Linked DNA regions of Rhinolophus ferrumequinum. The protein of the gene in region 1 interacts with the protein of each later gene in a pairwise test. Links are inferred from orthologs where the notes say so. Each region holds a gene or a part of one and is shown on either strand. Other genes may lie near its edges. The genes, in order: GOLGA2, TSSK3, HDAC4 and RNF135.

The links.
Region 2: the proteins of GOLGA2 (region 1) and TSSK3 interact in binary tests that used the Homo sapiens proteins (3 or more experiments, as listed by UniProt). The two-hybrid records come from large-scale screens. The link is inferred for Rhinolophus ferrumequinum from reciprocal best matches to the Homo sapiens genes GOLGA2 and TSSK3.
Region 3: the proteins of GOLGA2 (region 1) and HDAC4 interact in binary tests that used the Homo sapiens proteins (3 or more experiments, as listed by UniProt). The two-hybrid records come from large-scale screens. The link is inferred for Rhinolophus ferrumequinum from reciprocal best matches to the Homo sapiens genes GOLGA2 and HDAC4.
Region 4: the proteins of GOLGA2 (region 1) and RNF135 interact in binary tests that used the Homo sapiens proteins (3 or more experiments, as listed by UniProt). The two-hybrid records come from large-scale screens. The link is inferred for Rhinolophus ferrumequinum from reciprocal best matches to the Homo sapiens genes GOLGA2 and RNF135.

Annotation. Positions count from the first base shown.
Region 1 is NC_046295.1:77,183,899-77,191,641, forward strand, and holds the start of GOLGA2 (golgin subfamily A member 2), read right to left. Parts: upstream 3,269-7,743; 5' UTR 3,172-3,268; coding exon 3,124-3,171; intron 1,628-3,123; coding exon 1,511-1,627; intron 548-1,510; coding exon 467-547; intron 1-466. UniProt on the Homo sapiens protein: Peripheral membrane component of the cis-Golgi stack that acts as a membrane skeleton that maintains the structure of the Golgi apparatus, and as a vesicle thether that facilitates vesicle fusion to the Golgi membrane.
Region 2 is NC_046292.1:22,209,505-22,216,648, forward strand, and holds TSSK3 (testis-specific serine/threonine-protein kinase 3), read left to right. Parts: upstream 1-4,473; 5' UTR 4,474-4,739; coding exon 4,740-4,884; intron 4,885-5,537; coding exon 5,538-6,202; 3' UTR 6,203-6,255; downstream 6,256-7,144. Other genes in the region: protein FAM229A, read right to left, coding at 3,435-3,537, 3,764-3,910, 3,992-4,128. UniProt on the Homo sapiens protein: Serine/threonine protein kinase required for spermatid development and male fertility.
Region 3 is NC_046291.1:1,453,247-1,460,811, reverse strand, and holds the start of HDAC4 (histone deacetylase 4), read right to left. Parts: upstream 3,278-7,565; 5' UTR 3,188-3,277; intron 1-3,187. UniProt on the Homo sapiens protein: Responsible for the deacetylation of lysine residues on the N-terminal part of the core histones (H2A, H2B, H3 and H4).
Region 4 is NC_046304.1:20,582,840-20,591,259, reverse strand, and holds the start of RNF135 (E3 ubiquitin-protein ligase RNF135), read right to left. Parts: upstream 3,057-8,420; 5' UTR 2,985-3,056; coding exon 2,643-2,984; intron 1-2,642.

The DNA.
Region 1 (7,743 bases):
TTCACACTTGAGGCTCAAAAAGCGCAAATCCCACATACCTGCTCTGGAAACTATTCCCAAACTACTTTTAAACTTCAAGGTACAAATATATGGTGATGGAAAGAGAACTGACTCTGGGTGGTGAACATACCATGTGATTTATAGATGATGTAATACAGAATTGTACACCTGAAATCTATGTAACTTTACTAATAATTGTCACCCCAATAAACTTTAATAAAAAAAACAAAAAAAAAACTTCAAGGTACATCTCAACTTTTCCAAGATGCTGAAAGATATGGGGGGAGGGAAAAAAAAAAAACCCCAGTCAATCAAGCAGGTGAAAAAGCAGACATGAACAGGCCGAGGGTTAATGACAGCAACACAAAAGAAGCCAGAAGCAAAGTATCCCCCAAACCAGAGAAGCCTTGGGGGCGTGCAGAGCTGACAGAGAGCAAGCCAGAGAGGGGATCTCGGCATGCCTCACCTTCCACTTGTCCAATGGGGGCAGCGCAACCCCATTGGAGCGGTTAAGGTCGGACACCAGCACCTTCAGAATGTCCTGAATCTACAGGAGGCGGAAAGGGAAAAACAAGGGCAGGGAGAGACAGAGAAAAGTGTCTTAGAGAGAGGCAAGAGGGCCAGGGAAGGGAGAAGAGATGGGTTCCGGGAAAGAGAATGCTAGAGGAGAGAGAAGAAGGTCAACACCACGGCCTGTGCCATCGTTCCAAACAGCCGCTTGCTGCCTTGCCAGAGGCAGAAATCAACGCCAAGGAACAGATGGAAAAGTCCCCTGAACGATGCACTCACAAAGAGTGGAGTCACCTGACCAGTGCAGCTCTGAATATGCCCATTAGCCCCTCTCCTCAGGCCCAGGCTGCTAGAGGCGAACCTGGCAGGGCTCCAGACCCTCATCTCCATTTTAAAACCTCGATTTCCAAGTAAAGGTTTGCTGAACCAAAGGGGATTACAGCTAAAACATAAGTTTGGAAGACATTATCTGATCCAACAATATCATCTTACAGATGAGGAAACTGAGGCCCAGGGGAGGAAGTCCTTTTCCTGAGGTTACCCAGCAAGCTGTGGCTGAGATGAGCTCGAAACTCCTAATCCAGTGCCTAGGGCTCTCCTCACCACACCCGGGGGCTCCTCTGGTGCTTCCTAAAGGGAGAGCCTGATAGTAAGTGGCCTCCCCTTGAGGCTGGGGATGAGGAAAACCACCAGAGCAGTAAGTCCAATAGCAACTCCCCTTTCCTGAATGTTTACTCTACACCAGGCTCTGTATTTAAGGGATTCAGATAGAAACAACAGTCTCATTTAAACTCCATGAGGGTAAGTAAGTAGTACCCGGATTTTACTGATGTGGAAACAGACCCAAAGAGCTTAAAGAATTTCCCCAAATCATATCCCTAGCAGAGGGAGAAATAAGATTCAAATCCAGACTTCTTAACCAGTACCTGACACTTCTTCCACAATCTAACCACTAAGTTCTAGTCTTCCATCCCCAGTAGCCTGGCCAGCCAAGACTCACCTCCTCAGGCGAGTGACAACCATCAGAAGTGGTTGTCTCACTGCCATTTTTACTTTTCTTTTTCTTCTTTGCTCCTGAAGGAACACCAAGGTTGTTTTTCTTCTGAAATTCTCTCAACTGCAGAGAGGAAACGCAGTAAGACTCACGAGAACTATAAAGCCCTGTATTCACATCCTACTTTACAGTTTACAAAATACTCATATGCGCCATTTGATGCGATGCCACAACAACTCTACAAGGTGTTGTAATTCTCACTTCATGGCTGAAGAAAGGGACTGATCACATAGCCTTTAAAAAAAAAAAAGGCAATAATGGAATTTAAATTCAGTCTTCTGACGCTGAGGTCCAGGGGTTATGCCATAAAGCAGCAGCTGCCAGGGGGCAAAATCAGAGGCAGAGGTGGAAAAGTAAACATTGAAGTGATCAGGCATGAGGGTCCCTTCTTATACATCTATTGAGATGCACAGCAGTACTTCTCAAACTTTGACATCAATGGAGCCCAATGGTAGAAGGCAGTGAAGACACACCCCTAGTGAATCTGCGATTGTAGCAAAGACAACTCAAGCACCATTTTGAGAGACGTCTATTATAATCTTACAAATCTATGTAAATGTAATCCCTAAATGCACTAATATAAAAAGGCTTTTTCTCTCTCAAGAGCCTCCAGCAAAACGGATGCTTCAGTCCCATATTTATCCTGTGGCACTCAGAGCCCCCCATGTTGAGATGATGATTTGGGGATGATTCCCAGCTGTGAAGAGCAGTTTCTCGGGATCTGCTCCACAGAGGACAAGCAGAGCTCACACCAAAGAACACTGATTGAGGGCGAATCTGGTCTCAGGATCATAGGGCATGATTAGAACGTGAGGTAGAGAATTCAGATTAAAAATTAGGAACACTCTCTGGGGACTGGAAACGGGAGAAAACCAAACTAAACACATTCTCCCCATTGCCACCCAGAGATGTGGTCAACGTTTTGAGATCACTAGTGAAATGTAGGCTTTTTACGCTATCAGTGTCTAAGCATGGGGTACAGTCTACAGGAAGCCTGAAACCTCTCCGATCTAGGTCCCATAGTGCCGAGTCCCCTTCAAGGTGGAAATTTGTGCCGCGACCAAAGAAAACGGAGAGAGCGAAAACACTAGGAGGCTGGGTCTTTAGATCGAACACCTGGCTCGCGGCTGTAAAGACGGTTCCGAGGGTGATTGTGACGTAACTACATTCCACTCTTCCCTATGGATGCCCCAGTCGCCGCTCCGCGGAGGGGGAAGGGAGCGCAGGGCCCGGACCGAGGTCCTTAGCAACTGGGAGTCCAGGGAGCCCACGGAGCCCAGAGAGCCCAGAAGGTCCGGTTCTTGGCGGCAGGAGACAAGGGCCGAGCCGGGAGTCCCGGGGGTTACCGGCCCAAAGTCACCCGGGAGCGACAAGCGAGGGCGGGGGCTGGGCTGCCGGGGAGTGGGGGGGTGGGACTGGTGAGAAGATTTTGGTGGGGAGCCAACAGGCTCCGAGGGGCTTGCCCCGTGTGCCTCCGAGGCGGCACATACTCTGGCCACGGCCCAGCCGTCGGAGGGGCCTTGGGCTGGGTCAGGGAGCCGCGACCCGGCACGTTTTACCTTTTTCTTGGCCGCGGCCAATTTCTTCTGTCGGGTTTCTTCCGACATCCCGGGACGGGGGCGGAGGAGGCGGGACAATTTGAGCCACAACCCGACATCCACTGCGGAGTGTGCTTCCGGTCGCTACGGCGCAAGTGCGAGACGGAGCCACAAAAGGAGGGACCGGGGTAACTAGGCCGCAGCGGTGTGGGCGGGGCCTCAATTCTCTAATACTATTGGTCTATGAGAAAGACGTCACGACAAAAGATGTGCGTGCGGCCCCTGTCTCCGCCCACCTCGGGGAGGGGCGGGGCCTTATTTCTCAGGGTGCGCGCGCAGCTCGCTGTGTGACGGTTCTTGGGCTCCATCGCAGGATTCTGATTAACCCGCGGACCTGAGAGGCCGCGCTCCGTCCCTCGCCCTGGACCCTTCTGCACAGCAAACCCCCTCGAAACGGGGGCCCCGGACCCCAGGGCTCAGGAGGTGGGCTAGGAGCGGGCTGCAGGGGGAAAACTCATCCCTTCACAATCCCTGACCTGACTCCCATAAGTCTGCCCCAGACTTTCTCATCCCAGAGATCACCTCGAGACCCCGACCCAGTCTACACACTCCATCCTATCAGAATCTCTCCTTCCTCGAGGATCTCCACCCTGATCCCGGGAGCGTATCTGCCCCCTTCCCGACTGGATCCAGTGCCGGTAGCTCCTACTTCCCAACTCCTCCAACACCCCCACAGTACCCCCTCTTCCCGGAGCGAATTCTAGGTCCAATCAGCCATTTTTTCCCTCGGATTCCTCTCCAGGACTCAACCAGGACTTTCCAAAAGTTGCGGCGGGGCCTTCCGATCCCCTGTGAGTATGCCTGCGCCCCCCTTACCCTCCACCGTGTAAGTACTGCTGCTCCTAGCCGTCCTCTCCATCCCCACAGCAGCTGACCCACCCCCAGCCCTCTCCAAGGTTTCCCCTTATCCGAAGAAACTCTGGGTTATTTCTCAGCCCTTCCCCTTCTTTTCCTCGTGCCCACCAAGCTTCAAAGAAGAAGCAGTGCCCTGTCTTTGTCAATGGCACCCCAGGCTCTCCAAGTGGGCTCTGTCTCTCCTTCCTGACAGCACCACAAGGGGTTGGTTCTTTTTGACACCACCATGCCCTCCCTCACCCATCCCACCCACAGGTAAACCCTTCTCATTCCCTCCAACATATGTGCTCTCTCCTGTCTTAGGGCGTTTGGATGTACCGTCTGTCCTCTGTCTGGAATACTTTTCCAGCTTTTTGCCAAGCTGATGTCTACTCATCCTGTAGAATTGAGCTTCTCAGAGAAGCCTCACCCCCACTTCTAGCTCAGTCCAGCGACCCTGTTAGACACGCCTGTAGCACACTGCACTTCAACTTCAAAGCACTCAACTTCAAAGACTTGTAGTTAGTTGATTAGTTATTTGTAATTCATGCATTCATTAGATAAATTGAATGCCTACTATGTGCCGGGTACTACTGTAGACACAGTGCAATCAGCAGTGAGTCTAACAAAGTCCCTGCCCTCATGGACCTTACACTCCAGTGGTGTAAGGCCGACAATGAAAATAATATTTCCCGGCTGGCCCGGTGGCTCAGGCTGTAGAAGTGCCGTGTTCCTAAAGCCCAAGGCGTCCGGTTCAATCCCCACATGGGCCAGTGAGCTGCGCCCTCTACAGCTAAGATTGTGAACAACAACTCTCCCTGGAGCTGGGCTGCCCGTGAGCAGCCGGAGGGTGTGTGAGCTTCTGTGAGTGGCTGACCTGTGACCAACTGCCTCAGCCTGGGGGAGCGCAAGACTCAATACCAGCATGGACTACACAACTAGACTGAGAAACAACGGCTTGAACGGGGGTGGGGTGGGGTGGGGTGGGGTGGGGTGGCAGAAGAAAGGAGGGAAAAGGAAAATATTTTCACTGAAAGGCATAACATGTCCGGTGGTGACAGATGTCATAAAACATCAGGACAAAGGGATAGTGAGTCTTTGAGAAGTACCCATTTAAATGGGGTGGTCAGAGAAGGCCTTTCTGATGAAGTGTGACCTGTGAGTAGAACTTTAAATGGAGATCTCTGCAAGAAGAGCATAGTTGTTTGGTGTTTTATATTTGGGACTATGCTATCGGTTCCATGAAGGCAGGGGCCAGGCTTGCTGTCTTCTCCATTGGTGAATCCCTGGAGCCTTTGTCAGCTCCTGGTAGTCTTTGTTGACTGGCTGGAAGATTGGAACCACGTCTTCCTCCGTCTGTTCTGGTAGCGTTCATACAGTTGATCCAACACACGTTTCCTGAACAGTAGCAGCATACCAGGCACTCGCCTTCGCAGCTTTGAGAGGCAGAAAGGGCAAAGATGAATTGTAGTCCCAGAGAAAGATTTTGTTATCCAATGAAATAAACCCAGCAACATCATAGACTTGAGAGAAGAATCCAAGTAGACCTGACGTGGATTCTCTGGAGTCAGATATGGTCCTTTAGTTAGAATTGGGTTTGGCTGGGAGTGAATGAAAACCCCAAATAATAATGGCTTTAACAGTCATCAGGGACCCAGGGCTCTGTCTTGTTGCACCTCATCTTCAACGTGGCGTCTATCTCATCATCCAAGACACTGCGCAGCTCCAGTGTCCCGTTGCATACACCATTTCTGATTAAGTTCCATTTGCCAGAACTTAGGTTTAGGGCCACATCTAATTCCAAGGGAAGCTGGGAAATGTGGTCTTATTCGGGCGTGGGGAGGTGTCTATTACCAAGCAGACGTGGTAATATTGAGGAAAACGTGTAGGTTGTGAATGGGGGACAATGGCTCCGTCTGGCTAATGACTTTTTGTGCCACTCAGCGGCCGTCTCCCAAGTCTGGCCAGGCTGCTGGGGCCAACGAGGATTCTGTGCACCTTGACATTCAGAAACTGAAGGAGAAGAGGGACGTGCTGGACAAGGAGCTCTCCCAGTTAATATCTGAGTGAGTCTCACTGGGTTCCTCAGCATCGTTCAGATAACTTTTAACTCGAGCCCAGTAATTGCAACGCAGTCATACTAGCTCAGCATAAAAACAGAACCATACCGTTGGGTTCATGGTGTCTCAGCAGCCTCTCTGGGGTCGGGTGTGGTCAGGCTGGGTGGACCAAGAGCTAGGACTGGAAAGCTGGCAGGAATGGAGGTTATCGCTCTCCCAGTCTCTCTCCAGGGCCCACATTCTCGGCTCTGCACCTGTCTGCACCCGGACTCCATTCTGTCTCTGCAGGTGGGGTTTTCAGTGCCTGGGAGGTGCTGGTTCTTGCACAACTCCTGCGTGTTCTCACACCCCTTGCTCCAGCCACATGGCACAGACTAAGCAGCTTTTGAATGTGCATTTCACTTGAGGGGATCTGATTAGCCACTGGTGTGCCCACCTGTGGCCAGGGTCACAGTAGCAGTGTGGTTGGGACTCCTCCCTAAGGGCACAGGGAGCATGTACCAGGGGCTGACCCCTGCCCTGCTGTAATCTTCAGTGGGCAGTGTCTGTGTTGCCATCTCTATGTCCCCAGTGTAGTGCACCTAGTAGGCCCTTAGTGACCATTTGTTAAGTAGATGCCTCATTACTCTCTGAACCTTGCGTCCTCATCAGCTTTCTTAACGATTCTCTCTCTCCACCCTTTGACCCAGAGGCTACAGTGTGGATGAACTGGACGACCACATCTCCCAGCTGCACGAGTACAACGACATCAAGGACGTAGGCCAGATGCTGCTGGGCAAACTCGGTGAGACGCGGGACTCCAGGGGAGCATCAGGGCTTGGAAGGAATCCCCATCCCCCCCCAGGGGTGGTTGCATTCTGCTCCTGGGCCTTCTCACGTGCCAACCCTCCCACCCTTCACAGCTGCTCCATTCTCTGAGTGCCCCTGCCCTCCGGTCACCTAGCGAAGCAGCTGTACAGCTCCCTGGGGATTTTCCCCTCCACTGTAGAATCTGCTTTGGAGCTGCAGGCAGATTTGAGCATGGGCTCGCCCACCTGCTGCACTGAAGACTAGGGTTCCCAGTCTTCTGGGGCCTACTCACACTGATTAAGACACCATCCTGGCCTCAAGTGGCTGACTTGCTGTAGAGGCAAAAAGTGCAAGGGCGACTCTGTGTGACTTAAAGGGGTATTTTATTCTTCCTTGAACACAGTCTCACTGACCTGAGGGCTTAGCCAAGGCACAGATACCTGTGTGTCTGCGCTGGCTCAGACAGCCCACCTGGGAGGTAAGGACTTGTGTAGGTGGCCGCAGATGCATCACCTGGCTTGGATTGGTGGACACTGTGGCCGGTGACCATTTGGGATGGTGTTCAAGGCAGGGGCTGTGGGTCCAGCTGCTGCAGGACAGGACTTTATTGGGGAACAGTGTGTACTTCCAGGACTTTTTTCCAAGTCGAGTTGTTGTCCTTTCAGTCTTAGTTGTGGAGGGAGCCGTTCAGCTTCAAGTTGTTGTCCTTTCAATCTTAGTTATGCAGGGCGCAGCTCAGCTCCAGGTCCAGTTGCCGTTGTTAGTTGCAGGGGGCGCAGCCCACCATCCCTTGCGGGACTCGAGGAATTGAACCAGCAACCTTGTGGTTGAGAGCCCACTGGCCCACGTGGGAATCGAACCGGCAGCCTTTGGAGTTAGGAGCACAGAGCTCTAACCA
Region 2 (7,144 bases), on another chromosome or scaffold:
CCTCCCGATTCCTCAGACCTAGAGAATAAGACTGGGATCTGTGGGTCTGGGGACAGCTTTACCCTCTAGGGTACAGGAGGCAGCTCTGCTTTTACCCCTGGGGATTCGCCTGTAAATGCCCCCCATCAAGTTCCTAGGCTCCTGAGCAGAACTGCTGGGAAGCTGGCAGAGGGAAGCAAGAGGGATTCCCCAACCCTCTCCAAGGCTGGGCATCACCCAGACCCTGGGGACGTGACTGGCTGGCTCTCTGCTGCCCCTGGAAGCCAAAGGTAGGAGCAGCAGCAGCAGCAGCCACAGCAGCTTCTCTTGCTCATCAAGTGCTGCTGGCTGTGCCAGAGATTCCTACCTGGTGCTGTACTCACACAACTGCTTAAACCTTCTACCAGGTGTCATTAATCTCATTTTACAGATTTGGAAATGGAGACTCAGAGAGGCTAAGTAACTAGCCCAAGTTTGCACAGCTAGTAAATGGCAATCAGGACTCAAACCCAGGATGAGAATTTAGGCCAGCAACTTTTCCAGGGGGAAAGATGAAGCAGCAACAGAGAATGGAATGGAAAAGAAGATGAGAAATATAGGGACGTGACCCAGGTTGGAGCCTGTCATGCTCCCTGTCACCTACAGAACGAAGTTCAAGCTCAAGGCCTTCTTGATCTAGCTTCTCTTCTGTGAACTCATCCTGGATCCCCTAAATTTTGAGCTCTGCAAGGGCAAGGGATTTGTCAGATTCAGACCTGGCCTCTCAGCACCCAGTGGGGCCCAGGTAGGTATAGGTGAAAGTTGTTTGAATGAATTCCTTAAACTTTCCCTCCACTTTCCTGCCTCCAGGCCTTTACCCACAGTGTTCCTTCCACCTGGAATGCCCTTTCTCCTGCTCATGGACATTCTAGAGCTAACTAGAATGTCCATTGGCAAGATGTGTGTCCGGAATCTGTGCATCACTCACTACCCAAGCACATAGAAGGTGGCAGTAAATCTTTTTTAAAGGAAAGGAGGATTGAGAAGATGGGACAAGGGAAGTGAGGGAGACGAAAGGAAGAATGGGAAGGATTCAGCAGTTTGGGGGCAGGCAAGGTCCAGAGAGATCAGCTGGTGCCTTTTTTTTTTTTAACCAGTGAGGAAATGGTCCCTGAGGGAAGGGACTTGTCTGAGTGAGACCTCCCAGTAGGTCATTGCTAGGCCATGTGAGTTCTATGAGAGCCAAGGCCCATGGAGGTCAAGTTCTCCACTGAATCCCCAGTGCCTGGTGGACCTGTATTGTCTGAGTCAGGGACAAAGCCTGAACTAGAACCCAGAAGCCCGACACCTGGTCACACTGTCCAAGGCTCCTCATTGCCATGGAACAGAGTTGTCACCCTGGCCCCTGCCACTCTCTACCCCTTCTTTTCCGGTTTCTTTTTCTCTCAGGCATATCCAGTCTTCCAACCTTTGCATAAGCTCTCTCTTCTCCTGAAGTATTTTTTTCCCCATCTTTACCCATTCTTTTCTGGTGATACTGTCAATCACCTGGCTGTGTTTGCACCTCAAGGGAAGGTTTATCTATAGCCCAGCCTGGCCGTTTATAGTCTCCCATCTCCCTAACAATGGTAATTGGCCCAAGGAGTGCACATGTGATTTAAGAAGGGCCAAACACTGCCCTTCCAGGGGTAGCTATATGGAGACTGGGATTCTTGGGATTTCTAAGCTGGTGCAGCTATGTTCTCTGCCCAGGAGACAATCAGGGATGAGAGAGGAACAACGGGGCGTCCTGGTGGGGTTGAATACTTGGTTCCAACCCCATAGATGCCCTGGTTCCTACAGTTCTTCCTTTAATCACTAGCGTATATCCTTCCCAGCCACTTGAAACAATCAATCCCTTTTTTGCTGAAGCTAACTTCAGCTGCTTGCAATGGAGAGACCCTATCAACACAGAGCCTGATAATTTGTTTCTCTCTAAAATGATGATGGTCTCCTAAACAGCGCGTACTGTTTACAGGGAAGTAGGGGAGGCCCTTTTTCTGCAGAGCACCCCCATGGGTTGTTAGGCTGAGTAGAGACTGCGTGGAGTTTTGTGGGGATGGAAGAAACTGGATTATTCCACTTAATAGAAGTATTGAGAGTCCCTGAGATGTTCTCCAGGAGGTAAGTGTGAGGGAGGAGAGAGAAGCCAGCACTAGGGCCTGAAGCCAGAGGTTATTCTCGTGAAGGGGAAACGTAGGCATGGAGGGGCTTTCAAGAGCCAGGACGTTTAAAGGACCAGGGGTTGAATGGTCAAGTCTAAAGTCTTCACTTAGGAGTATATGCTTTTCAGCAAATACCCTCTCCTTCCGTAAGTCTCCTACATTTGGCACTGCCTGGGAGAGCATTTTGTGCAGAAGCCAAGAAGTCACCTTTTTGGTAACCATGGGATTCTGAAGCGCTCCAGGGACAGCTTGGGCTTCTACCCCATGTGGATTAGGAGAGGGGTATTGAGTCAATTGTACTTAGATGTCAGGGGACAGGAGACTGAACCTGATCTTTAGGTTACGTATATTTTTTCCAATATTAAAATAATACAGGTTCATTAAAACAAACTTGGAAAGTGGGAAATACCCATTCAGCTTAAATATTACACTTCCAGGCAACTTTATGTCATGGCCCCTCCTATGGATGGATGGCTTTTAGGGCATTAAGTCTGAAGACACAGGAGTGTGCTAGGGGGACCCCAGGCAAGTCTCTCAAGGCTCAGTTCTCTCACCTGTAAAATAGGAATAAGAAATCAAAGTTTTTCAAACAACTTCTTCCCCAATTTTTTTCTGGTGCCACCAGTCCTAGGAGAAACCAAGGCGCAAAATGGACGGGGCAGCCCCTAAACTCTTTCAACAAAACCAGAGGTGCCCAGGATCACAAAACAGCAGGTAGCAAAACCTAATTCCGTCTTGGGAGAATTAAATGAGCGCGGTGTGGATAGTCATTCTCTTTATTCTAAGTTGTCTGCCGCCCTCCCCCAATCCCGAGCTTCTCTGGGCCTCCAGAGTTCAGCAGAGTGATGTGATTTCCTTGGAGAACTAAGGCGAGGGATGGGGGAGAATGACGTAGGCAGGGCCCGAGGGAGCTGTACAGGAAGGGGTCCTAACTAGCAAAAAAATGGGGGGAGGCGTTAGCGCCCAGACAGAAGAAAGCGGACCAGGAAAGGGGGGCTCCTGGGGCTGGATCCAAGGGAGGAGGCAGCCGAAGGGAAGGTGCTCAGGGATGGGGAGGAGCAGGCGGCAGGCCCGATACAAAGGAACAGAGACACACAGCCAGCCTGTAGTGGAAAGAACAGTTTATGCTGTGCTTTATTAAAATGTGCATCATTCTTTTATTTTAAAATGTGCATCATTGTCTCGTGCTCGGCGCGCGCGACCTCAGCGTGGTGGCCCGCAGCGGGCCACGTCCCCGCCCGGCTCCCGCGGAGACGCCGTGCGCAGCCTCACTTAGGTGGCGCGGGCCCCCGGGCTCCCGCCCATAGCCAGGTAGACGTCGATGGGCACGTGCAGCAGCGTCAGGCAGTGGCAGCCGGGGCAGCGTCGAAGCGGCCTGGGGAAAGTGACGCGGCAGGGGACCCTGAGGCGGGGGCCGGCCCATCCTGTTGGGGACGCATCCAGGGAGTGCACTTGGGGGTACCCGAGGTTCGGTAATGGATGTGGGGCCCTTACGTGGGGGGGTGGGGGGGCAGTGTGGGGATGAAAAGTGGGCCGGGGACAGGGACGGCCGGGAGCACTCCGGGACGCAGGACGAGCCGCGGGGGAGGGCGCCTGCTCACCTGACCGGGTTGTGCTCTGTAGCTACCGGCTCTGGGTTGTCCTGGGATTCGGGGGCGGCGGCAAGGCTAGGGGAGTCTCCGGCCTCAATGGGAAATCTTCGAACCTGCGGGGGCTCCTGGGCACTCATGTCCAGGACCCCGGATGCTCTGCGTGGCGAGGAGCGGTCAGGCCACTCCCGGGCCTCCAGGCGTCCCCTCCACGCACCCGCCCCGTGGGTCGTTGCTCACCTGCCGGAGGCCGAGGCCGGTCCCAGGCTGGAAGCAGCTGCCTGAGCCCTGGCCGCGAGAGGACGCTCCGGTCCAGGAGGAGCCGGGCAGGTGTCTGCGGCGGGTGCGGTCCCGGGCGTCGAGGGGGAGGGCTGCATTGTGACCCGGACCTCGGCTCGCTGACCTCACAGAACCCGTTCCTCCAGCCGGGAACCCTCCGCTGCCCCAGCACTTAGTGCGGCCGCGAGCCGGGAGCCGGAGGACTCTCGCCATAGCGCCTTAAGCCTGGATGGCGCAGATCCCCAACGGCCCGATGGGGGCGCAGGCAGAAACGACAGTCAGTTGCGAGGCGGCATCCACGAAAAGGAGCCTGGCATCCTGGGCAGCGCGGACACCCCGGAGTGCCCCACCCTCACCCCAGGAGGGGCTGCGACTCACTGCCTGGCGTGGTGGCGGGAGCGCGGCAGTGACTTAACCGGTGCTGTTTGGTGTTGGTGCTGGTGAGGGCAGGTAGGGGTACTACCCATTTTGGCCAAGGGTCACACATTTACATCACAATTGGGCCGGAGTTTTAAAATGTCCGGCCCTGTCCCTCCCCACCACCTGCGGCTGCTCTGTCCAGACGGAGAATGTTCTAACGCTGGAGGCCGCTGCGGATGAAGTCCTTGGGGGAAAAAGGACCGGGCCAAGGGCGATGGTGGAGTAGAGCTGCCTCAGAGAGGCAGCATGAGCTGAGAGGGTGATAGGAAGAAAGGAGGCGCTAGACAGCATGGAGGACTTTCTGCTCTCCAATGGATACCAGCTGGGCAAGACCATTGGGGAAGGGACCTACTCAAAAGTCAAAGAAGCATTTTCCAAAAAACACCAAAGAAAGGTGGCAATTAAAATTATAGACAAGATGGGAGGGCCAGAAGGTGAGCTGGGGCCCCTTTGGAGAAGGGAGGGCTGGCTGAGGTGGGCGGGTGCTTCCTCCAGTCAGAAGGACCATTCTCTCCTCCCCTTTTAGTCTGTGACCAAGCGAAGCAAGAGATTGTGGCTCTGGGGTAGGTCAGTGGGGAACAGAGGGATGCTGGGAGTCCAGGAACATCATGCCCTCCAAAATCCAAGGTTAAAGTGGTAGGGTGAAGGGTCGTCGGAGGCAGAACCTGAGCCTGCCAGGGGAATAGAGATTGGCAGAAAGACCATGGCCAGGGCTGCCAGAGGGCAGGAGCTGCTATAGAGGTAGGTAGAAATGGGAAACAAGACTGGGCTCATGGAAGGAACTGTGGGTCATGAGGCAGGGGTGAGAGCTGGCTCACATGCTGTGGGCAGCCTCATAACAGATTCAGTGGCTTGGTCTGAAAGTCCCACCAAGATTTGGATATCCATGATCTCACGGGCTGCTCACAAGAGTCCCTGAGGTTGGCAGGGAGTAGTTCCTTTGAATATTAACTACAAAAGTAATAGAACCAGACATGGTGTGTGGGCAGGCAGGTAGGCAGGCAGATGTTGGAAGGCAGGAGACAGGAGGGAAGAGTTAGGCCCCTCTGGACTTGATGCCCCATCTCTTTCTCCCTCGTTTCCTCAGAGTTTATCCAGAGATTCCTGCCTCGGGAACTCCAGATTGTCCGGACTCTGGACCACAAGAATATCATCCAGGTGTATGAGATGCTGGAGTCTGCAGACGGGAAAATCTACCTGGTGATGGAGCTGGCTGAGGGAGGGGATGTGTTTGACTGCGTGCTGAATGGGGGGCCAATGCCTGAGAGCCAGGCCAAGGCCCTCTTCCGTCAGATGGTCGAGGCCATCCGCTACTGCCACGACTGTGGCGTAGCCCATCGGGATCTCAAGTGTGAGAATGCCTTGTTGCAGGGCTTTAACCTGAAGCTGACTGACTTTGGCTTTGCCAAGGTGTTGCCCAAGTCACGCCGGGAGCTGAGCCAGACCTTCTGCGGCAGCACAGCCTACGCTGCCCCCGAGGTGCTGCAGGGTATTCCCCATGACAGCAAGAAGGGTGACGTCTGGAGCCTGGGCGTCGTCCTCTACGTCATGCTCTGTGCCAGCCTACCTTTTGACGACACAGACATCCCCAAGATGCTGTGGCAGCAGCAGAAGGGGGTGTCCTTCCCCACTCATCTGGGCATCTCGGCTGAATGCCAGGACCTGCTTAAGCAGCTCCTAGAACCAGACATGATCCTCAGGCCTTCAATCGAAGAAGTTAGTTGGCATCCATGGCTAGCAAGCACTTCATAAAAGCAATGGCAAGTCCTCCCCAATAAAGCAGGGGGAGAAAGCAAACCCAAAAACCTGCTTCTAAACTGGTGATATATATTTTACACTTTTAAGTTTACTTATCCTAAAACTTACTTACACCCTCCCCAGCCTTACTTCTCCTTCCCTTAAAGATCTTCATGGAACCAGAGGGTCTCATTCAGACTTCCCTTTTATTACGACTGACAAGTGATTTTCATGCAAGTGTTTAAAGTTAATTAAAAATAGACCCCAGAAATATACACATACAGGGGGAGGAGAGGAGAACAATGACCCAGAGCAAGCGCAGCCACTGTTGCTGCAACTTCCTTTCCAAATAAAAGCAGAAGCGTTGGGAATGCAGAACCAGCCTCTTGACTCGTCTTGGTCACAGGCCTGTTGGGGGCCCTGTCCCTTCCTCATCCCAAAGGCCAAACTGAGTCTGGGATGAGGACAGGAAGTTCCTCAGGACCAGGCTAGCCCCCAGCCCTCCCCCTTCCCCAGGCTCCAAGCTGGAAGCCACTCCACACATGGTGAGCCCTGCGTTGGCTCCAAGGCAGCTGCCGTGGGGGACAAGAACAGACCCCCAGACAGCTTCCAGCTTTTGGTGAATCTCTTTAATGCTGTTAACGGCAAGTCTGGAAAAGGTTCAGGACAAAGTTCTTTTTTCTTTCTTTTTTAATTACAAAACTAACAGCTGTTGGAATCTTTTTTTTTCCTTTTTTCTTTTCCCGGCTACAAAATACTCTGGGGAGATGCATTATAATTTAAAATATATAATATTGCACAAACAACCAAAAGATTAATTAAACTAAAGAAATAATTACAAAGAGAAAAACCCCATCCCATCAAAAAGATTCAGCCTTCTCTCCGTCGCTCCCCCTCGTTGAAGGTTTGAAGTGGAAGTGACCACTGCTCTCTTGGCAGCCCTGACCACGATCCCAC
Region 3 (7,565 bases), on another chromosome or scaffold:
TTCTCCTCACCCACATAAGCCCAAGACAACATGACCTTATGAAAAGAACTCACAGACCTTGCTTCAGTGCCCTTTTTCCCCAAAAGAATCGCTCTGCGCACGCCCGTGACAGGTGTGCTATTACACTCTGTGCACGCCTGTGAAAGGTGTGCTAGAATGCTCTGTGCACACCCATGACAGGTGTGATAGAATGCTGTGCATGCCCGTGACAGGTGTGCTAGAACACTCTGTGCACGCCCGTGGCAGGTGTGCTATTATCCTCTGTGCATGCCTGTGACGGAGGTGCTAGAATGCTCTGTGCACACCTGTGACGGGTGTGTTAGAACGCTCCAGGCACACCCATGACAGGTGTGCTAGAATGCTCTGTGCACACCCGTGACAGGTGTGCTAGAACGCAGCTATACTCTGACACAGGCCCTCACTGGACTTGAACCAGAAGGTGCCGTACCTTCCTCTCTAAGGTCAAGGCCAAAGGCACCAAGCCCAGTGCACTCCCCAGCACATGCTGACCATCTGCCATTGAAACAGAAACCCCCTCCAAACTCCATCCCTGCCCCCACCCCAGGGCCAGGGACTTGCCCTCTGGCGAGAAGGGCAGGTTCACAGGCTGCAGGGCGCGGTTCAACGGCCCAGGCTTCCATGTAGGCTGGGCCCCTGGTCTCTCCAGCTGCCGTCATCCATTCTGGCCCAGGGACCAAACGCCTGGCCCAGCCTGGGGCCCGTTCCTCCCTGTGTCTCTCCCACTCCCCACAGCAGGTATTAACCTATGACTCCTGGCAGCTTGGGAGTGATGAGAGCCCAGCCGTTTTCAATAGAGAATGGTAGGGACAAATTCTGCAGGAGTGATGAAATGTTTCTTCTGCTCCGGCAATTAAGACGGCACCAAGTCCCCTTTCCTCTGGTGCTACCCCCAACATCAAAGGATGAGAATTCAAAGCCATTCATGCTGCATTGAAACCTCACAATGAAGCTGGAAAATGGAAGTCGATTACTGGGCATAAATATGCAGGAGTTAAAAGGAAAGACTTATAACGAAATTAAACTGCAGCAACCCCACAATGTGTGGAAACTTCCAGAACTAGTCCTCCTGGTAAACATCAAGAGGGGTATCCTAGTAAAGCAGGTTCTGACCACCAGAAGTCGAGATCTGCTACTCCAGCTGCACCTGGCCAGGGTGCCATGTTCTGTCGATCTTGCTACAGTAACAGCCCCCAAGGAGGTTTTCCTTTTGCACAGCTGTAAAGCTGCTGACCACAGAACATTCTCTCTGGCTCAGGGCTGCTTAGGCCACATCTGTCCTTGGTCCCCAGGCCTTCGAGGCCGACAAGGAGCCTGCAGTCATCCACCCCCTACACACATCCCTACACACACCCCAGGGGCACCCTGCGGCCAGCAACTCTTGCAGAAGAACCCTAAGAGGACAGTGTTGTTACATCTGCCTGCCGCAAAAACCCTGCTTCTTTTCTGATTGATTACTGCTCTCTTTAGGAAGGTATCTGGTCTTTAAAATAAAAGCCCAGAACACAGAAAGCTGAAGAAGTCTCACAATGTGTCAGGGTGTGTGTTTTTAAGGCAGGAAAATACTTCCCTCCCACACAAATGTGAGTTCTGGGGAAAGATGCCACAGATCCAAGTGAGTAGAAAATCTGGGAAAGCTTTATCAGTCTTAAAAATAGATAACTGAACACAGATTTTAGAATTCTCAGGAGCTACCTGAAAGAAAAAAAAGAATTAAATCTCACGTATTTTCAATATCCCAAACTCCATTCTGATGAAACTTCTAACAGGGTAGCATTTTGCATTTCCAATTATAATAGAGTAATTGTGTTGCCATAGTTACTGCAAAATTCTGCAATAACTTTTGTTGCTTTGTAATTGCTGTAGTGTAGTGTATATTTGTGTACAAGCAGCTGAGTTTTCTTAATTCAACGGCTCTCCCTCTCCCCAGTCAGCACCACCTTTCCTGGCTGGACTGTGAAAACACCAAACCAGCTTTCACAGCACGGTCTCTAACATCATGCACAGAATTATCAGAAGCAATTAAAACTCCGGGCAACCACGATCGTATTACAAAAGAAAAAGTGAAACCAGGCCAAGGTGCAAACCCATCAGTATCACCCCGACCCTGCTGGGCTGGCCGCTGGGTGACGGCTGTTTACATGTTTACTCCCAGGCCTTCCACGATGAGGTGGTCGGTGGGAATAAACAGAGAAAAGCCTGCGTGGGGAGAGGAGAGGAAGCAAAGTGAGTACCCAGGCCCTTTCCTCCGTCAGGGAGGGCGGGCGGAGCTGCTCTCAGCAAGCAATTAGGTAGGTCTCTACAGCAATGCAATCAGGATTTAGTTAAGAAAGTCATTAGTTTTAAAATAACTTAAGTTTAATTTCTGCAACGCTTTATTTGAAAACCGTGTCACAGCAGGTCAATTTACAACATGCAATAAAGAAAACACTCCTATCAGCTGCTGCAAGTTATTGCAAATTTTTGATGTGCATTAAATGAGTACAGTGGGTTCCACCCCCGGCCTTTCCAACTGGTACGCACGGTCTCCTGCTATAACAGTGTCAAATAATTCAGCGTTAAATGTAAATACGAGATAATTTGCTTTATAATTCCACGGTGTGTGTTTGCAACGCCGGGAAACGCGCCCCACAGCCTCCGGCAGGACCGGGCCACATCTCGGCCTGTGGAAAGCCTGCGGGCAACCCAGTGGGGGTCCTGGGCAGCGCCCCCACCCCCGTCACGGGCCCGGCACCCCAGCCGCGAGCCCCGGGAGGGATGTTTTTCTGCAAACTCACAGCCCTGACAAAGTTACATAAACGGCGCCCGCCGGGCTCGGGGAGCCCCCGGCCCACCTGCCGAGAGCTCGGCCTGGACGGGCGGGCGGAGGCGCCTCGCGCCCCCCCGGAGGCGAGCCGGCCGCGCTGGGCCCCCACCGGCCTGGGCGGCGGGCCGTCGTTTTGTTTCGGGGCTGCAGGGAAGGTCCAGGGCAGGCTGCGGCTCGCGCTCCGCAACCCCACGGGCTGGGCGCCGCGCGCGGCCTGGGCGCACGGGCCGGGGCCGGGCTGGGCCGGGGGCGCGGACCCGGCGTCCACCTGTCGGGCTGGGCGGCGGGCGGGGGGCGTGGAGGCCGGCGGCCTGCGGGCGGGCGGCGGACAATGGCCCGCGGGCCGGGCCGGGCTGCGCTTACCGCGGCGGCGGGCGGGGAAGCGGCGGCGGGCGCTCCGAGCCGCATCTCCTCAGCCTGCGCCGCCACCACCACCGCCGGCGGGCGGGCGGGCGGGCGCTCGGGCGGCGGCGACAGCAGGGACGCGGCCGCGGCGCGCCGGGCCCAGGCGGCTGAGGCGGCGGCGCGGGCGGGCGGGCGACGGGCGGGCGCGCAGGTTCCGGCGCGGGCGGCGGCGAGGACCGTGCTCCGCGGCGGCGGCCCCACAACCTCCCCTCCTCATTCACAAAAAATTGACCCACGTTGAACCATGATGCTGCTCCCCCCGCCAGCACCGAGCTGGGCGCTCATAGGCCAACCCCGACGCCCGTCAGTCGCCACGGCCCCGCCCCCCCGCCGGCAACTCTGCAGCCATTGGCTGCGACAGCCTTGCATCACCTCCCCATGCGGGCCCCTCCTTCCTGCCCGGTTTCTAATGAAGAGCTCGTCAATTACGGCTCGGCCCCGCCCTCCGCCCGCCCTCCCTGGGCTCCCGGCCGTCCTTCCATTGGTCCGCTGCGATCCGGGGTACAGCCCAGTCTGCTCCCGCCCCTCGTCCCACGGCCGCCAACCGCCAGGCCAGACGCTCTACGAACGGCAGAGATGCTCCACCTCTGCCCGCCTTCCCGCATACGTCCTGGACCTCATTGGCTGCCAAAGCTGCCAATCACAGGGGGCGGGGCGACCAAAGGACGCTCCAGGCGCCAGCCGCTGGGCGCTTCGCGGTTGAGAAAGCGCAGGGAGCTGGGGCGAGTAGTGACTGTAAACACGGACCCTGGCCCTGGCCATCCCCGCTCGGCGGTCCCTAAGACCTGGCCCGCACCGGCCCAGCGGTCAGCAGCGCTTGCTTGCGCGCGTAGCAGGCGCACGCCGGGGCTGAGACCGAGGAGGGGAACCTGCCTGGCCTGGCTGTGGCCTCCATTTTGGATACTGGCAGCGGTCATGTGTTGCTGAGTGCGCCCAGATTCGCAGGGGCGGTGCGAAGGGATAGTGCGCAGGCGCGTCGGGCCCCGCCCTGCCCCGCGGCGGGAACGCGGCCTGCGGAGTGCTGGGTGCAGGCGGGTGGGCCTTCCCGGCGGCCGAGGAGCGGACCGACCGCGCCTGCGCCGGCAGGAGGGGACCTGCGCGCGAGGTGCCCTCCGGATGGGCACTGCGATCGCGAGTCCAGGCTCGGGGTGGTGGAGACGAGGGTCTTGCCCGGTAGTCGCCGCGGCATCTGAGTTGCTCGGGGGGGTCACGACCGGTCCTTTTGCCCCAGTGCTCAGCATTTTAAGGCTGCTGGGTGACACCTTGGGCTCTTGGAGGCACCGTGATCTGTCCACCCGCGGGCGCGGGCGTGGGCGTGGCCTCCGACGCCCACCCCCCGGTCGTTTCATTTCCACAAGAGTGCGATGCAGCTTCTCAGCCTCGGTGCACCTAGTGTTTTTAGGAATCCCGTGTGTTCCCCGAGAAAAACCACGTTGACAGCCTGTGCCAGTGCATGGGGGTTCCGGAGTTTGTGATTCTCCGGTGCGCTGCAGACAGTTAGCTGTGCTGTCAGACCCCTCGTCAGTCAGTGTTCAGACCTACGTGGTAATAGCAGGAGTCCGTGGAGAGGGGAGTCTTGATAGAATAAAAGACTTCAAACGTTGTATTCGAATTGCAGGATTTTATAATTGTTTTGTTTATAACAACGTGAATAAAAGTGCTGCATGGAGTCTATATTTTAAATTAAAAGGGTTGCATAATTCCTTTGCTTCCATAAAACCTTATATCTCGCAGGATACTTGGAAATCTCGCAGGATGTTTCACAACCAAAAATGGTGACCACTGCTCAAAAAACTTGAGATCTTAACGCTCAAATTTGGTTAAATGTGTTGATGCGCAACCAAAGCAACTTTTTTCCTAGAAAGCAGAATTTGGTAGATCATTTAAAAACTGCATTCAAGGGATGTTTTTTCCCTCAAGTACCAAAAGGTCCCTACTGGTCAGGCCCTGGTAACACCAACCAAGGACCCGCTTACACTAAACTACACAAAAAGATACACAGGCAGGTCAGATGGAAAGGAATATCAGCTATCTTGAGAACTTGGTCATGAGAAAAGAACAATCAATGGAGAAATTACCAGAGGTGACTAGGTTATCTGAAATTACCTACTGGATTAAAGAAGGGAAAGGAAAGGCCTGAACAGCCCACCGGTGACACCCTCAGTTCTCACTGTCCTGCAAGAAAAAAAGACACTAATCGATACACCTTCATCACTCATTAACCTCAACTTTAGCTTTTCCAAGTTTTATGGCCAGATGCTTTTTCAGGACAGAAAAGAAGAAGCATTTCTGTTTTAATCAAAATCACACCTTTGTGGTGTTTTGTTATTTGTTTCATAATGAGGAATTTAGGGGTATTGGGGGGTTTTTGTTGTTTTTCTTTTACCCCTCTAGAACTTAAAAGAAAATCAGAAAGCAGGTCAGTTCAATTGTCAATCTTAGAGTGATCCTAGAGGCCTGGCTCAGATGTGTGAATGCTTATTTTGTTGGCCTGTTCCTTTTAGAAGTGAGCAGAGATTAGTTTTAATATCGTCCTTGATCAGTGAAACTTGGAAGAAAAAAATGTCGCTAGGTAGATAAAAACAACAATTTTCAAAGTGAAAATGCACAATTTGATAATATTTTAAGTATCTTGAAGTAGGTAATGACTGAAGAACCTTGGTCATTCTAAGTAGAAATGCCTACCCTAAGATAGCTTAACTTTGAAGCAAACGAATGGTGAACTGCAGAACGTTAAAAGATACAGCTAAAGAAAATTGAAAATTACCACTAGGAATTTTTTTTCCCACCAATGGAAGCAGTATATTTACCAAAAGTTTGCATATGGTGAAAAGGACCCGTGGCTGAGTAACATTTAGATGATAAAAATTAAGATACGTTATTTCACAGATTATTGAAAGTATGCAATAATCAGGAGAAAATGCATGTAAGAGTAATTTTACAAGTGCAAAATGAGAGATGCATGCCTGAAGAGAAAGCTACATGAAACAGTGCTGGGGTATAATCCCAGGCAGGATGAATTAAAAAGTAAATTTCATCCCGAGGCATGAAGTGGCCCAATGCTGTGTGCCAGTAGGCCTCTCTGGAGTCCCCAGAGGTCCTCGAGGAACATGAAGCACATGGTAAATGCTGGGCCTGTGGACAGAACTCACCTTTTCTGGAAGAGAAACCTGGGAGCCTGGACGGCTGTGTCTGTCTTTAGGTCCCTGAGGGGCTGTCTGGCTGAAGGCGACCAGTTCACAGACAATAACGAGAGCTCAATGCCATAGAATTCTGCCCAGTAAAAGGAAGGTCTCCAACACGGGGGCTGGGAATGCGGGGGAGGTGCAGTGAGCCCTAACACTGGTAACACCCACCTCAGGCTTCATAGGACGGCGTCTTTCATCCTTCACAGGAAGTGTTATGTTTCCAAAATAAAATGAATCCAGGGTTAACAGAGAGAAACAAATCCTTTGATCAGAAAAAGCCCCAAAGACTCAAAAAAAAAAAAAATCTAGATTTAGAAGTTTAGCAAGGTAGCCAATTAAAAAATATACAAAAACCCCAATAACTTTCAGATATACTAACAACATTCAATCAATAATTATAAATGCTGTTTACTGAGCATCTGCTATGTGGCTGGCATTGTGCTAAGCACTGTATGTGCATTAGAAGAACATGATGGAAAATTCCCAATCACAGTAGCAAAAGAACATTTTAAATTCCTAACTGTACTGCTAAATCCCAATGGAACTTCGTGGGAATTGACAAAATAGTGGAATAGTTCAGCTAGAAGAATAAACATTTGAGAATAATGAAAAAAGAGAGTAATGAGGGAGAAACTGTGCTCCCAGAAAACAAACCTATTATCTAGGCTCCATAAGGAAAACACCATGTGACTGACTGAGATCATGGAAAATACTAGGAAGTAAAGAAACAATCCCAAACAAATGGAAGAACTCCAGCTGATACTCAGAAAGAAGACCACCAACAACTGGAAATAATCGATAAATGACTATGTTACAATTTAAATTTGGGGTACAATTAGCAAGGAAATAGATAAATTCCAACTGTGGCATATTCATACAAGGGAATATTACTCAACAAAAAAAAAGAATGAACACTGACACAGGTGCATGACAGTCAAAACATCAAAGGAGTCAAACACAGAAGAGTGTATATACTTTGTGATTCTGCCACTTTGAAATTCAGGAACCAGCCTAAAGAATCTATGAGGCTGGAAACCAGAAGCCTGGTTCTGTTTTAGGGTGGGGCAGGCGGAGGAATGATTGGGAAACAGGCACAAGAGAACTTTCCGAGGGATTGATGATGCTATCTGTCTTGATTGGGGTGGAGG
Region 4 (8,420 bases), on another chromosome or scaffold:
TAATAAAGAATTTTAAGGACCTGAAGGATAATGCTGCATTTATAATCTAAGAGAACAAGCTTTACTCATAATTGAAAAAAAAAAAAATAGAAGCAACCAGCATGTCCATCAAAAGGTGAAGAAATAGGGTGACAGCCTGGAGATTTGGCAGTGAGTGGTGCAGGGGAAGGCATCTGTCTCAGGTATAAGGTCCACTCTATGCGATGAAATATTATTCAGCAATACAAAGAAATGAGCTATCGAGCCACAAATCTTAATTTTGCTTAGTGAAAGAAGCCAGTCTGAAAAGGCCTGATACTCTATGATTCCAACTATGAGCATATGACATTCTGGCAAAGACAACACTAAAGAGACAGCAAAAAGATCAGTGGTTGCCAGGGTTTGGAGTGAGGGGTACAAACAAGAGAAGCACAGGATTTTCAGGGCACTAAAACTGTATGATACCATAATTGTAGATACATAACCTCATGCATTTGTCAAAGCCATAGAACCATACAACACAAAGAGTTAACCCTACCTACGTAAATGAAAACTAGGATTTTAGTAAATAATAATGTATTAATATTGGTTCATCAATTGTAACAAATGCACCACACTAATACAAGACATTAATAATATGGGGAACGTGAGGGGTGTGTGAGGACTTTCTGGAGCACCTCTTCAATTTTCTGTAAATCTAGGGCTGCTCTAAGAAATAAAATCTGTTAGTTAAGTTTTTTTAAAAAAAGAGGACGGGGCGGCCGATTAGCTCAGTAGGTTAGAGCGCGGTGTTCTTAACAACAAGGTTGTTGGTTCGATCCCCACGTGGGCCACTGTGAGCTGTGCCCTCCACAGCTAGATTGAAGACAACTACTTGACTTGGAGCTGATGGGTCCTGGAAAAACACACTTAAAAATTTTTAAAAAAGTAACTGAGGTTTAAAAGATTAAGAAACTAATCACAAAAACCATAGTTACTTAAAATAAATAAATAAATAAGAGGACATAACCTGCCTATACAACATGACCTCAACTCTATTTAAAAGGACTGCAGAGACTAGCAATCGGGTGTAGTGGGCTACTCTAAGCTCTCATCCCCGCACCCCACCCCCCTCACCCCCCCACCTCCGCCACACACACACAGAAACACTGAAAAACAAGCAGAAACAATCAGAACCAACTTTGCCAGAACTCTGGAAAACACTGAATCAAAAAAGAGCAACCTGGCATTAGGAAAGTTTCGTGGTGTTTTTATTTGGCCATCCCCACTCCCTCAGTATTCACGAATCCTGGAACCCTTGTCCTGGTTCTGGAAGGTGCAGAGCAGACCTTTTTCAGAAATTGTCCTGTATGTCTGTTCAAACCTGGCTAGGGGCTGCCTGAAGGAATGGCACAGTGTGCTCATCTTTGTTTCACCTAACTCAGGCAAACGCTGCAAGCTGAACTAAACTACCATAGCGGATGTTTGGGACAAAAGATTCTAGTTGAAAGACACAATAAACCACCTAAGTCCCACAAGAAAAAGCCAGGGAAAACTGGAACCGTCTAACTTTGTTGATGGGAATGTAAAATGATGTAGTTGCTGTGGAATATAGTTTGGCTGTTTCTCAGGTTAAACGTATAATTACACTAACGGCCCAGCAAATTCAGTCCTAGGTATTCACCCAGAAGAACTGAGAATAGGGACTCAGATACTTGTACACCAACGTTCACTGCAATAATACGCACAATCATCAAAAGGCGGAAACAATCCAAATGTCCACTGATGTATGAATGGATTAAAAAAAAAGTGGTATATACATGCAAGGGAATATTATTCAGCCACAAAAAGGAATGATGTTCCAATGCATGGTACAACATGGATGAACCTTGAAAACATTATGGTAAGTGAAAGAAGCCAGACACAAATTGCACTTACATGAAACATCTAGAGTAGACAAATTCAGAGAGACAGAAAGATTAGAGGCAGGGAGGGCTGCAAGGAGGGAGAATGAGAAGTTACTGCTTAGTGGGTAGTTTCTGTTTGTGGTGATGAAGTTTTGGAAATAGACAGTAATGATGGCTGCACAACATTGTGGATATAATAAAGGCATTAAATTGTACACTTAATGGTTAACATGGCAAGTTTTGTTATATGTATTTTACCACAATTAAAAAATCCAGACAACCAAAATGCTCATCAAAAGATTACTGGATAAAGAAACAGTGGTCCATATATACAATGGAGTATTACTCTGCCTTAAAAAAAAGAATGAAATTTTACCTTGTGCAAGGATATTATGCAAAGTGAAATAAGTCAGACGAAGAAAGACAAATACCATACGGTCTCACTTATATGTGGAATCTAAAGAACAGAACAAACGAAGTAACAAAACAGAAAAAAAATTGCCAGAGACACAGACAGCAGAAAGACTGCAAAGAAATGGAAATATGCCAAGGTGTATAGCAGCTAAATTGAAAGGATTTCAGGAGATTTGGACTTTTTTCTGCTTCTTCATACTCTTCTGAACTTTCCAAAGAGCGGGTTCTACTTTTAGATGGAGAAAAGTAATGTGAAAGTAGGAAGGATGAGGGAGGGAGGAAGATCCATGGGGGAAAGCGGTGCAGGAAGCGTGGGCAGATAGTGGTAACGGAGAGACGGGAACCCGGACCCGCCTACCCTACCTTCTGCAGCCCGGTGCGGCGCGCGGGTCGCGGGGAGGGGCCGGGGCTCCGGGTCGGGCCCGGGCCGCCCTCCAGCTCGCCCACCGCCCGGCTGTACTTGTCCGCCAGGTCCTGCAGCAGCGTGTTCTTCCGCAGCTCCAGCTGCTGCTCGGAGCCCTCGCGGCAAGTGGGGCAGGACCAGTGGCGCCCTGCGCCCCACAGGTCCTTCAAGCAGTCCCGACAGAAGCTGTGGCCGCAGGGCAGCGTAACGGGCCAGGCGAGCAGGCCCTGACAGATGATGCAGCCCAGGTCGTCCTCGGCCAGCCACACCGGCACCGTGAGTCCGATGTCCAGACCCGCCATTGTGACCAGGCCGCCGTCCGGAAGCAGGGCCACAGTGGGGACCGCCCGCCCGCGCTACGTCTCCTCCGGCTCCTCCCTTGCTCCTCCCTTGCTCTTCCTCTCCCCTCCTCCTTTGCTGCCTCTTCCTCTACTCGTAGCGATCCAAGCTTTTTTCCTTTCTCGGGTCCCGCTGAAAGCCGAGAGTCTCCACCGCCCAGCCTGCAGCGCCCTCTGGCTAGAGCGAGTCCTCACCACCGCCTCCTGCGCTGGGAAATCAGCTCGCCCCAAGCCTTAGGAAGCCCGCTGATGCCCGAAGATTTTCTCTAGCTTGATGTCCCCCCATTAAAATGCAACCCTGACAGCTCTTGGGAGAAGAAACAACAGAGAATTCGATTCCAGAACTCTTTCAAGAGGATGTGCCGACTCACCTGAAATCTATGTAATTTTACTAACAATTGTCACCCCAATAAATAAAAAAAAAAAAGAAGGAATTTAAAAAAGGAAAAAAAAATATTGAATTTTCTGGTTCCATCTTACTGGTCAGGTATTCTTTTTTCAGCCCTTTATCTTGATCCAAAAAAGAAGGGGCTTGTATTCAAAATACTTTATGAAAATCATCTAAAGCTGACTGGACATATAATCTTTGTCAATCTGTATTTCAATCTTGACCCCATTTCAACCTCACAAGGGACCGTAATAAATGGCAGAGCCAGGAGTGCCTGGTAGCCAAGTCCAAAAAAAAAAAAAAGAGGATGTGCCGACTAAGTATCATCCAGCCCCTCTAACAAGCAGTAGGGATTCAAGAATACCCAGCGCACAAAGCTGGGAAACTCTTTTAAAATACCAATGTTCGGTCTCCGCTGCCAGAGTCTGATTTCTTTGTCTGCGGTGCATCGCGGACTCAGGATTTTTGAAAAACCTCCCCCAGGTGATTCGAACGCGCAAAACTGAGTAACTCTAGACTTTTAAAATCGCTATTATAATGTGGTATCTCCTTACTGCTCTCTGCTGGCTGAAAGCAGTACTGCTGTCTGCTGGCTGAAAGCACGTTAACACAACAGGCTTCGGGACGAAAATACTAGACAGTGGGGGTTTTTTGTAGCTAGCACATCTGGTCCTGGTTGGGCTTGCTTTCTTCCTTCGCTCTTACTCCGGTCCTAAGCTCATTACATCCAGAAAACGTTGCAACTGGAAGAGCACAAGTCCTCCCCAAAGATCCAAAGAGGCAAAGGAACTTCCAGACTTACAGAGCAATAACTGAGTGGCAGAGACCAGAACCCATCTCTGATCTTTTGAAATGAACTAACAATGTCTTATATTTTATTTTGCCCCGGTCTTATCCAGTCTCAAAGTAGGTACCAGATAATACAAACGTGTGGCAATTTGCAATACTGGAAATGACAGGTAGTAGTCAATAGAATTTACCTATTCGCGCTGCTCATCGAAGTTTCCCTTTCTAGGCACCTGGTAGGATTGGCACTTCTCTGAGCCACTGGAAACACACAGAAGTAACACTTGTTAACTTCCTACCAGCTTAAAAAAACTTAGTCATTGTATCTCTGCCATCTGCCCTGACTACAGAGATGAAGCCATCATCTGGGGGCCTGAGTAGTTGAGTGGCTAAGATGAGCAGATCACCTGCCAACCCACACTGATGTGTAGTAAAGGAGAGAAATACACGAGATATGTTCAGGTCACTGAGATATAGTGGGTGCTTGCTGCTGCAGCATAATATAGCCTATCCTGACTGAGGTACAGTTGATCCTTGAACAACTCAGGGGTTAGGGGTGCCAGCCTCTGCACAGTCAAAAAATCCACATGTAACTTTTGACTCCCCCAACACTTAGTTGTCTCTCAGTATCCACGGGTGGGGGAACTGGTTCCAGGACCCCCTCTACTACAAAAATCCACTCAAGTGCTCAAGTGCCCTATTGTAGATCAATGCATACAGCCAGCCTCTGCATCTGTGGAGTCCCAGGATCGTACATGTATAAGTAGATGCCCACAGTTCAAACCTGTGTTGTTCAAGGGTCAACTGTATTACCTGGATTTTGTTGCGGAGTCTCCTCATCTGGCGTAAACTCATAGCTTCTCTGATCCTCTCTTTTCTGAAAAATAGGAATAACCCAACACACGAGCTCAAATTTCCCATCTTAAAGAATGCAGTCTCCTTTGATAAAAGCCTCCCTTTAGGTACCTCTCCTTTTCTTCTCCATTACACACCCAAGTATTTTGAGAGGGTGGATTAACCAGTGGTCTTCAGACATTTTTCTTGGGCACCTCCTAAAAGTTTTAGGCAAAAACATGCAGTGATTACAAGAAAAGGAGAAAGGGTGGAAGTATTCAACCCTAGCTGTAAAAATACTTGAACTAGGGCTGCTGGTTGGTTCAGTTGGTTAGAGCACGGTGCTCTTAACACTAAGGTTGCCGGTTCAGTCCCCACATGGGCCAGTGTGAGCTGTGCCCTCCACAACTAGAATGAAACAACTATTTGACTTGGAGCTGATGGCTTGTGGAAAAACACAAATAAATAAAAGTTTAAAAAAATAATACTTGAACAAGTTTTTCATTTACATCGGAAATTGTATCATTCTTTCATCTTCTTGAACTTGTATTTCCATTCCAATTTATCCACAGAACTATATTCTATAGTAATATATGTGCATGAAAGCCTTTTATCAGTTTCTAATCACTTTTATCACTTTGTAATAATTCTCGGCCACAAAAATATGCATACGAGGTCTGACAATTATGTTAGCGAACTTGTTGCAATGATGTTGTAAACTTTTTTGATATCAGAAATCATAATTCACAAATTATTTTTCACAAATTATTATTCACAAATTATTATGAATTTGTACCAACTGGACAAATAGTTAACCAAGTTTTCTATTTGGAAGTGCTGAAAAGGCTGCGTGAAAAAGTTAGATGAAAACAACCTGAACTTTTTGCCAACAATTCATGGTTCTTGCATCACGACAACGTACCAGCTCACATGGCACTGTCTGGCAGGGAGTTTTTAGCCAGTAAACAAATAACTGTATTGGAACACCCTCCGCACTCACCTGATCTGGTCCCCAAAGACTTCTTTCTTTACCCAAAGATAAAGGAAATATTGAAAGTAAGACATTTTGATGATATTCAGGACATCAAGGGTAGTATGATGACAGCTGTGATGGCCATTCCAGAAAGAGTTCCAAAATTGCTTTGAGGGGTGGCTGGTTCACTCCATGGTTAGAGTACAGTGCTCATAACACCAGGGTCGCTGGTTCGATTCTCACATGGACCAGTGAGAAACAACTGCTTGAGCTTGCAACTGAATCGCTGGGCTCAGTGGTTAGAGTGCAGTGCTCCTAACACCATCGCCGGTTTGATTTCCACATGGGCCAGTGAGCTGCACCCTCCACAACTAAATTGAAAACAACAACTTGACATAGAGTTGATGGATCCTGGAAAAACACTGTTCCCAAATATTCCCCAATTAAAAAAATAATTTTAAAAATAATTTTTTAAAAAATTGCTTTGAAGGGTGGACTAGGTGCTGGCGTTGGTGCATAGCTTCCCAAGGGAAGTACTTCGAAGTTGACCATAGTGATACTCAGCAATGAGGTATGTAGCACTTTTTCTAGGATGAATTCACGAACTTAATTGCCATACCTTGTATATCATTTTCTTCTGGCTGCTTTCAAGATATTTCTTTTTTCTCCAATTGGAATTGTTTATTCTTTTAAAAATATTTTTAAATTTTTCCAATTACATTGACATACAATATTAGTTTCAGGTGTGCAATATAGTGATTAGATATTTAATAATTTATGAAATGATCATCCTAATAAGTCTAGTACCTATCTAATACCATAGTTATTACAATATTGTTGACTGTATTCCCTATGCTGTTCTTTACATCCCTGTGACTGTTTTTATAACTGACAGTTTGTACAAGATTTTATCTTTATCTTTGTTTCAGCAGATTGACAACAATGAATGTGGATGTGGTTTTCTCTGTATATATCCTACTTGGAGTTTACTGAGCTTCTTGAGTCTCTACACGTCTTTCACCAAACTTGGAAACAGTTCAATCAATATATCTTCAAATATTTTTTTCTGCCTCAATAGTTCTCTCTTCTCTTTCTGAGACCAATTACATGTAAATTAGAGCTTTTGATATTGTCCTACAGGTCACTGAGACTTTTTCACTTCTTCATTCCCTTTTTTCCCTGTTTTTTAAATTGGATAATTTCCATTGCTCTATTACTGTCTTCAAGTCACTGATACCCAATCATCTCCAATTTACTGTTGGGCTGAGTTTTTTTTTTTTTTCACATACTGTATTTTTTCAGTCCTAGAGTTTCATTTGGTTCTTTGTCATAATTTCTATTTGTTGAAATTTCATATCTGTTTATTCATTATGATATTTTCTTTTACTTATTGAGCATAGTTGCAATAGCTGCTTTAAACTTCTTGCCTGCTGATTCCAATATATGGGACATCTTGGATTCAGTCTCCATTGATTTTTCTCTTCAGTATAATTTACATTTTCTTGCTTCTTCATATGTCTACTAATTTAGGGCTATAATCCTGATATTCTTCATAATACATTGTCAAACTCCAGATTCTTTTATGTTCCTCCAGAGAGTAGGCAGATGATATGTAGAATTCTGGGCTCCTCCTCTGTGGCCTCCCAGACTTCCCTCTCTCATTTGCCAGCTGCTATAGTCACCCTAAATTCTGTCCTCTACTTTTCAATTAGGATGTACGCAGGCTTCCATCAAAGTTTTAGTGGCCCCCTGGGGTGAAAAGCTAAAAAATGAGAAACCCATGCTAGTTCTTGCTTTCCAGTACCAACTTCTCTCTAGTCTCTGCCTGCTTTAGGTCGTTTTCCAGAGCCTTCAGATAATTGTTTTGTCATAGTCTGTACAGAGTTTCTAATTATCTGTGGAATGGTTGTTCTGATCTGAGCTATTCCACCACTATTGAAGTAGACCCTCCTCCAGTCTAATCTGTTCTTTCTCCTCTTCCAACAACTTGTGCTCTAGTCATATTCAATTATTTGAAGTTTCCAGAACAGGCCATGTTCTCTCATGTCTCTAGGCCTTTGTACACTTCTTTCTCTGCCTTCCCCCACCCCAACCCAAGTGTCTTCTATTCATTCTTCAGGATTCAGCATAGATAGCACCTCTTTTTGAGAGCTTTCTTAGGCAGGCAGATTCCAGTAACAGAAACTTCCTTGTACCAATAAGTCAAAAGGGAGACTAGGATTTAATGTAAGAGTACAGAGTCATCCTCAGGGAACCCAAAGACACTTCCAGCCAGGCCTCAGAAACCAACCAAAACCATTTCATTGGGACTTTATTGCTATTCTTGTGTCTCTTCTCTGCCCCTCTGAGGGGCTCCTAAGAATCCCAATTTCTCTCCTCAAGCAACTTTGTTACTGCCTATTTCTATTCTTTCTCTTCT